Macaca fascicularis: one gene and its partner. The protein of the gene in region 1 purifies or fractionates together with the protein of each later gene. This does not show direct contact. Links are inferred from orthologs where the notes say so. Each region holds a gene or a part of one and is shown in the gene's direction. Other genes may lie near its edges.

Region 1 (3,813 bases):
GTTGCTAAACATCCTGTACAACAGAACCCCCCACCCATCACACCAAATAATTATCCAACCCAAAATGATAGTAGTGCTGATGTTAAGAAACCCAGCTTTATGGCAGTATCTTAAAATTCTGCCCAGATCCTTCCTGTTTTTATCATTCTGTATTAAAATTTGGGGGTCTTAAATATTGATTCAACAATGGGCTACTGATTAAGACTATATATAACGTAGAATATGTCAGAAAACCTAATCATTGTCTTTCAAACTGGGTTCCTTAGGGTACTAGGGCTTCCTGGGGGTAGATAGAGCTGAGCAAACAGGCCCAATTCTGGGGCGCTGTCTCCATTCTAGCCAGAGCACCTCTGCTTTTAACTTGAGCCTCAGTTTTTTGAGTAAGACCTGATTTCTTAAAAAAAAAAAAAAAAAAAAGGAGGGAGGAAAAGAGGAAGGAAGGAAGAAAAATGGGAGGGAGAGAAGGAGGTAATTATCGGCTTTAAAAAAATTTGAAAGCTGGTCCAGCCCCCTCATTTTTCAGATGGAAAAAAATAAAGTATAAAGAAGGGAAATCGCCCAGCAGCTTTAGTTACAGTAGAGCTGGGTCCAAACCCCTGACGTCTTGACTTCTAGACAGTAGCTTTGTTGTTCATCCTGTGCCACATCGCTTCTTCTCTTCTGATTGTAGCAGTGATGAGGTTTTGATTGGCACAGCATTTGTGGTTGTGGTATTTGATCTTTACCTTTTGTAGCATATGCCCAAAGTGTGCTTATATAAAACCCTTGTGCCCTGTCATTAAGACAGTTTCAAGTATTCCATGTTTACCACTGAGTAACTAATAACCCTAATTTCCTTTTCAGGACTGTAGATGTCATGTCACTCCCTTTCTTCCCCAGGTGTTCAGCTCCCGACAGGCACTGAATGGCCATGCCCGCATCCACGGGGGCACCAACCAGGTGACCAAGGCCCGAGGTGCCGTCCCCTCTGGGAAGCAGAAGCCTGGTGGCACCCAGAGTGGGTACTGTTCGGTGAAGAGCTCACCCTCTCACAGCACCACCAGCGGCGAGACAGACCCCACCACCATCTTCCCCTGCAAGGAGTGTGGCAAGTAGGTGCAGGGGACCAGGGACTGGATCTGAGTTCATGAGGATAGTTGCTGTATGGGGACTGGGCCAGGATGGCCTAAGGTTTCTTCAATCAGAAAAAAGAACTTAGAATTCAAAATTCTTCTTCATACCATCTTTGGGATGGGTATGTAGGCCTTGTCGCAGACTCAGAATATGGCCATTCTGTTACCTTAGAGCCTTGTAAGGATGGATATCTTCAGAGAGTGAACCTCTAAGTTACAAAACTTCCCTCTTTCCCAGGAATGGCAGGCGGGACTCTGGTTCCCACTCCTTCCCTTCACACCCAATCTATGTTCACTAGCATTACTCTGTTTGCATCCCCACTGAATGATTTGAGAATGGCTCTAGAACACCTAATCAGGAACTCTCTATAACACAGATGGCTCATACAGGGTATTCCTACCACCTTCGCTTACTTCTGTGCCTAGGGCAGACATCACTAATCAATCACCACACTCTTTGCTATCACTTTAAGACAAAGCCTCAAATACTTTTCATTGTCGTGCTTCAAGCTGCACAATCAATTAATCAGAGTTGACACATGAAATAAAACATATTTGTTATCCTCCCCTTTTAGGTATAATTAAAAAAACAACAACACCAACAACTAAAGTAACATGAGATAGTAATTATAATAGCTAACATTTACTGAGCACTTATTTTGGTACATGCTTTATGTGTATGAGCTCATTTAATCCTCACATAGAAACTCCATGTGATACAGATACTGTTTTTTTATACTTGTTTTACAAATAAGAGTTTAAAAATTAGGTAAAATGACTTGCCCTAAGTCACACTGCCAGTAAAGAGCAGAACTGAGATTTGAACCCAGTTTTGTCCGAATGCAGACCTGGGCTCCTGACCACTGCTCTGTCCTTTTGGTTTACTTTGTTTTTTGCTTTAGGTAGAAAATGCCATTGGTAGTAAGATGGGTGATTCCCTCCCACAGCCTCCAGTAGAGAATTCCAGTGTACTTCTCAATAAGTCCACCTGACTGGAAGGGTACTACATTGTTACGAATTACATCCTTTAGGAGCCTTGCTGAGTTCCTCTTCCCATAATTCCTAGTGCCTCAAGCATGAAGAGGAGTGTTACCTGGGAGAGATGCTGCCCAGGTGGTTTCTGAAACTCTACCAGGAAAACATCCACAGTTACATAAGCAAGGCCAGGTGGGACCTCATAGAGTAGAGCAGGCAACTTAATAGTAACTGCTGTTTATCAGGTACTCACTATGTGCCTGGCACTGTTTTAAAGGATTTTTTACATGTTTTAGTCTGTTTTGTGTTGCTACAACAGAATATCACTGACTGGATAATTTATAAAGAAAAGAAATTTATTTCTTATAGTTCTGGAGGCTGGGAAGTTGAAGGTCAAGGGGCCTGCATCCAGCAAGGGCCTTCTTGCTAAGTCATCCCATTGTGGAAGGGCAAAGAGAGGGGAGAGAGAGCAAAAGGTTGAACTTGCAGCCTCATACCCTATAATAATCGGCATGAATCCACTCATGAGGGTGAGGCCCTCATCACTGAAACGCCTCCCATTAGGCCACACCTTCCAACACAGCTGCATTAGGGATTCAGTTTTCAACGTGTGCTGTTTGGGGGACACATTCAACCCATAGCACATGTACTGATTAATCTTTAGCCCTGTGAGGCGGGTACTTTTAGGAGCTTCTTTTTTTACAGGCAGAAACTGAGGCACAGAAAGGTGAAGCCCCTGTTGCAGTTCACAGCGAGCAGCCTAGTGGGGATTCAAATCAGGCGGGCAGGCCTGGCCTTGTGCTCCTGGCTCTATGCCATGCTGCCTCTGATTAAGCCCAGCTTGGCAGCACCCACCAAAGTGAACTGGAACTAGCAGATCCCTTCCTCCTGTGAAGCACAGGGATGGGAGAGGTGGGATTCAGTGTGGGTCTCCTCCACACCCTGCCGTCCTTCCAAGCTGGCCATGATGTCATTTTCACATCACCACCCACCACATACTGGTGCACCATGGGAGAAATGGGCCCCTGGATTGATCTTAAGGCTTTTTTAATAGAAATAATGATGGAACCACCCTCAGCTGACTCTCAGTGATCTCTTACTTATTTGTCCTGGAGTGGCAGCATCAGGGTATCAGGGTCTTACCAGTTTTCCCGAGAGGAGCCAGCACCTCCCACTCATTAGGCTCAAACAGGCTACAACGCTACATTCCACCAGGTGGAGACAGAGGATGATTTAACTAACAAAAGTCAGCATTTCGTGTTTCCCGGCCATGTCTCAGTGGCATCTATTAAATGGTTTTTTGGAGTCTTAGGTTGCTGGGGAACTTTTTTCCACCAGAAATCCAGTTATGACTTTCTGGAAAATACAAATGGTTTATGTGGCTTTTCCTAACTCAGAATAACATTAGGCAAATGTTCACAAAATACCTCTTAGAGCTGCTGAAATTATGTTTGTTACATGGAACCATTTTCAGTGTGTCCAGGTAGAATTGTGATTTATCAGCCCTGTTGGACTCAGGCCTTAGAAACCAGGTGTTTTGTGATTTTTTTTTTTTTTCCTTCATGAGCTCAGGAGTGACTAAAGAGTATTATGCCACGCCCTGTCCATAAACAGTCTCACTCCTGGACACACTTCTTCTGAAAAAGGTCCAGATAGTTAATATTTGAGGCTTTGTGGGCCGTTTACTGTCTTTATCATAACTGCTCAGCTTTGCCACTGCAACACA
Region 2 (4,596 bases), on another chromosome or scaffold:
CTAATAACATAACCAAGCATAACAAAATTGTTCATCCTAGCAACCCAGAAAAGACAGAATGGAACAGACCACTCAGAAACTATCAAACAGGCCAAGGTGGGCAGATCACCTGAGGTCAGGAGTTCGAGACCAGCCTGGCCAACATGGCAAAACCCTGTATCTACTAAAAATACAAAAATCAGCTAGGCGTGGTGGCACATGCCTGTAATCCCAGCTACTTGGGAGGCTGAGGCAGGAGAATAGCTTAAACCCAGGAAGCAGAGGTTACAGTGAGTGGAGATCATGCCACTGCACTCCAGTTTGGGTAACAGAGTGAGACTCTGTCTCAAAAAAAAAGGCGGGGGGAGAAACTATCAAAAACCTACAGAAAGGCAGTAGTTGAGTTTGTTAAGAACTAATGAAAAAGCACCAAACACCTACATCTTTGTCCCTCTAGCCCACACAGGCCATTCTTGGACTGTATGAAGGCTAGCTGGCAGAACTCAAGAGAACAGTTGCTATGTATGACTCAGATAGTCTGCCTACATATACCACCTTTATTTCTTTTTCCTCTATTTCTTTTTTTCTTTATCTGTCCTCTTTATGCCTTTGGTCAGCTGTGATACCCAATGGTGTCCACTGGCACTGCTTAGTCCTATGGGCAGGTACAAGGTTAAAACCTCCCTAATAGGATGAAAAAGTTTGGAGCCAGGAAGTTGCCCTTATTGTTATAAGATTGATGTTGGCTCATGGAGATAATTAACATTTGTTGATGGCCTAACATGTGCCTAATATGGTTTTTTTTTTTTTGGGGGGGGGGGGACAGAGTCTCCCTCTGTCCTCCAGGCTGGAGTGCAGTGGCGCGATCTCGGCTCACTGCACAATCTCGGCATAATTAACATTTGATGACGACCTAACATGTGCCTAATACGCCTGTTTTTTTTGCTTTTTGTTTTTTGTTTTTTTGAGACAGTCTCCCTCTGTCGCCCAGGCTGGAGTGCAGTGGCGTGATCTTGGCCCACTGCAACCTCCGCCTCCTGGGTTCAAGAGATTCTCCTGCCTCAGCCTCCTGAGTAGCTGGGATTACAGGCGCCCAACATCAGGCCCGGCTAATTTTTGTATTTTTAGTAGAGACGGGGTTTCGCCATGTTGGCCAGGCTGGTCTCGAACTCCTGATTGCAAGTGATCCTCCCGCCTCGGCCTCCCAAAGTGCTGGGATTACAGGCATGAGCCACCGCCCCTGGCACAGCATATTAAAATCTAGTCTTCAAACACTGAACTGCAGGCGTCGCTGCACCAAACACTTCCCTCTGCTCCCCAACCCCAGCCTACAGAAACCAGCTCCCCTCCTCCTACCCCGCAGTCATCCACAGGCCTTGGCCCAGCGGGAAACGTCCCTTGACTGAACCGCCACTGAACACCCACACTCCACAATCGAGGGGCAGCCCTCCCGAGAGGAAGCCCCAACGACCTCCAACCACAAGGCGTCTAAGTGTAACTGTCCCGGGCGAGGCGCGGCGGTTCGGTTCCCATGGTAACCCCGCAGCTCCTGCGTCGCGCTTCCGGGCGGACGAGCAGCGCGCCTCAGTGACGTCACGGCGCCACTTTCCGGCCGGTGGCAGAGTCCGGCGAAGTTGTGGTGGCCTGGGGCGCCATGGGAGCCACTGGCGACGCCGAGCAGCCGCGGGGACCCAGCGGGGCCGAGCGGGGCGGCTTGGAGCTGGGGGATGCGGGCGCAGCGGGGCAGCTGGTTCTCACGGTGAGGGCGCCCCCGGTGAGGTCTGGGCTCGGGCCGGGCAGGGCCTCGGGGCTCCCGGGACCCTGGCCCGCGGGCGAGAACGCGGCGGCTGCAGCTGCAGAGGGGGTTGGCGTTTTCGCAGCCCGACGACCTGGATTCAAATTCTGGTGCCGCCCTCCTAGCTAGGTGACGTGGGCCAGCTCTGTCGACCCCCTGAGTCCCCAGATCATCTTCTATAAAATGGAGATGATTAGTACCTGTCTCATAAAAGTTGTTGTGGGATGGGAAGATAAAGGCGGGTACAGCGCCCAGGACATCACCTGACACAGAGTTGACCCTCGGTAAACACTGCTTCCCTTCCTCCTGCCGTGCCAGAAGGCAGGGTCGGGACTTTTAAGGCAGGAAACTTCCTCAGTTCCTCTTTTGTGGAGGGGGCCTTCCAACTGTTGTCCTCCCCCGATACCCCAAGGCGGGAGAGATGGTGACGGATCTGAGAAGCAGGAATGTTTAGGTTTAACTTCATACCCACCCTCCACCTCCACCCCACGCCAGTGTCACAGGCCGCAGTGACATTTGTTCCGTTGGTCCCCACAGAACCCTTGGAACATAATGATAAAGCACCGGCAGGTGCAGCGGAGGGGCCGCCGCTCACAGATGACAACAAGGTAAGGCTGGCCCTGCATGGGACTTGTATCCCAGCCACTGGCTTGCATGGCAGCTTTGGGATCCCCAGTGCACAAGACTATGGAGATCTACAGCCTGTAGAAAGAGCACAGGACTGAGAAAGAGGAGACTCCGATCCTGTAACTCTGTGTGATCTTGAGCTAGTCAAGTCACTTCCTTCTCTGAACTCACGAAATGGGGAAGGGCACAGGAGATGGGTTGGGGAATAAAAAATACCTAAGACCCCTCACATTCACTGGCTCTGTGATTGAGGGCTCTTAAGAGGTCAGTTAGCATGGAGTTTAAGAGCACGGGCTCTGGAGTCAGACAACTGTGTTCTCATGCAGCCTCTGATGAGCCCCTGTTTTCTCAACTATAAAGACGGATTAATAGTATCCATCTCAGGGAAGGGAGAGAGCACAAGGTGGGCCTTTGGGATGCTGGTAGTGGTGAATTGGATGTTCACTGTAATTACTCATTAAAGTGTATAGACTTTTCTGTATAATAAGTATTATATTTCATAAAAACACTTTGGGCCGGGCGCAGTGGCTCACGCCTGTAATCCCAGCACTTTGGGAGTCTGAGGTGGGCGGATCACCTGAGGTCAGGACTTTGAGAACAGCCTGACCAACATGGAGAAACCCTGTCTCTACTAAAAATACAAAAAGATGGCCGGGTGCAGTGGCTCACGCCTGTAATCCCAGCACTTTGGGGATCTGAGGCGGGCAGATCACCTGAGGTTGGGAGTTTGAGACCAGCCTGACCAAGGAGAAACCCGGTCTCTACTAAAAATACAAAAATTAGCTGGGTGTGGTGGTGCACACCTGTAATCCCAGCTACTCGGGAGGCTGAGGCAGGAAAATTGCTTGAACGCAGGAGGCGGAGGTTGCAGTGAGCCAAAACCACACCACTGCATTCCAGCCTGGGCAACAGAGTGAGACTCCGTCCAAAAAAAAAAAACTTTGAAAATAATACCCACTTCATAGAGTTATGAGAATGAAATAAAGTCATGCCTTTGTGATTTGAACAAAATCTGAGCATGTAGCTAGTTTTCAGTAAAAGTTGTCTAGTATTGTTAAAGAATTCTATGTCCATAATTGACTGGGCAAGGTGAGAAAGAATATGTTTCGGACATGCCCCCTCACCCTGTCTCCCTCCTGAATGCAGTTTCACAGATCCTGCCATCTCTATGGATCTCCTCCGAGCTGTCCTGCAGCCTAGCATCAATGAGGAGATCCAGACTGTCTTCAACAAGTACATGAAGGTGAGAGGGACACAGGATAAAAAATAACGGGAAAGACTCATGAGGAGCCCAGTCCTTCCTTGCATCACCAGTCCGTCTCTTTCCTACACACAGATATCTAAAGTTTTCCTTTTGTTTTTTTGTTTTTTTGTTTGTTTTGTTTTGTGTTTTTGAGACAGAGTCTCACTCTGTCACCCAGGCTGGAGTGCAGTGGCATGATATCGATTCAGTGCAACCTCCACTTCCCAGGTTCCAGCGATTCTCATGCCTCAGCCTCCCTAGTAGCCAGGATTACAAGCGCCCACCACCACACACAGCGAATTTTTGTATTTTTAGTAGAGACAGGGTTTCACTGTTGACCAGGCTGGTCTCAAACTCCTGACCTCAAGTGATCTGCCCGCCCACCTTGGCCTCCCAAAGTGCTGAGATTATAGGTGTGAGCCAGCGCGCCCGGCCAGCTTTCAAATTTTTAATCCCCCAAGAATTTTATCCCTTCCTTGAGGGTAATTCAGATATCTTTTTTTTTTTTTAAATCTGCCCTTGTCACTCACTGTCACGTTTTTGTTTTTGTTTTTTTTGCTGACTTCTTGTAAGGATGAAATGACTTAAATGTACTGTGCTGAGCACTGCACTTAGGACATAACAAGTGTCCAGTAAGTACTTCTATTAGTTGTTTAATAATATCACCATTATTGGGGCCATGCACAATGGCTCACACCTGCAACCCCAGCACTTTGGGAGGCCGAGGCAGAATCACTTGAGGCCAGGAGTTTGAGACCAGCCTGGGCAACATAGTGGGACCTCATCTCTACTACAAAAAAAAAAAAAAAATTTATTAGCCAGGCATGGTAGTGCGTGCCTGTAGTCCCAGCTACTCAGAAGGCTCAGGCGAGAGGATCACTTGAGCCCAGGAGTTTGGGTTTGTAGTGAGCTATGATCATACCACTACACTCCAACCTGAGTGACAGTGAGG

What was found.
Region 2: the proteins of TRERF1 (region 1) and DNTTIP1 purify together in Homo sapiens (affinity purification with mass spectrometry; 3 studies listed by BioGRID and IntAct, with this or other methods). This does not show direct contact. The link is inferred for Macaca fascicularis from reciprocal best matches to the Homo sapiens genes TRERF1 and DNTTIP1.

What each region holds. Positions count from the first base shown.
Region 1 is NC_088378.1:129,309,130-129,312,942, forward strand, and holds part of TRERF1 (transcriptional-regulating factor 1), read left to right. Parts: intron 1-843; coding exon 844-1,091; intron 1,092-3,813.
Region 2 is NC_088384.1:101,821,832-101,826,427, forward strand, and holds the start of DNTTIP1 (deoxynucleotidyltransferase terminal-interacting protein 1), read left to right. Parts: upstream 1-1,565; 5' UTR 1,566-1,633; coding exon 1,634-1,738; intron 1,739-2,311; coding exon 2,312-2,382; intron 2,383-3,547; coding exon 3,548-3,644; intron 3,645-4,596. UniProt on the Homo sapiens protein: Increases DNTT terminal deoxynucleotidyltransferase activity (in vitro). Also acts as a transcriptional regulator, binding to the consensus sequence 5'-GNTGCATG-3' following an AT-tract.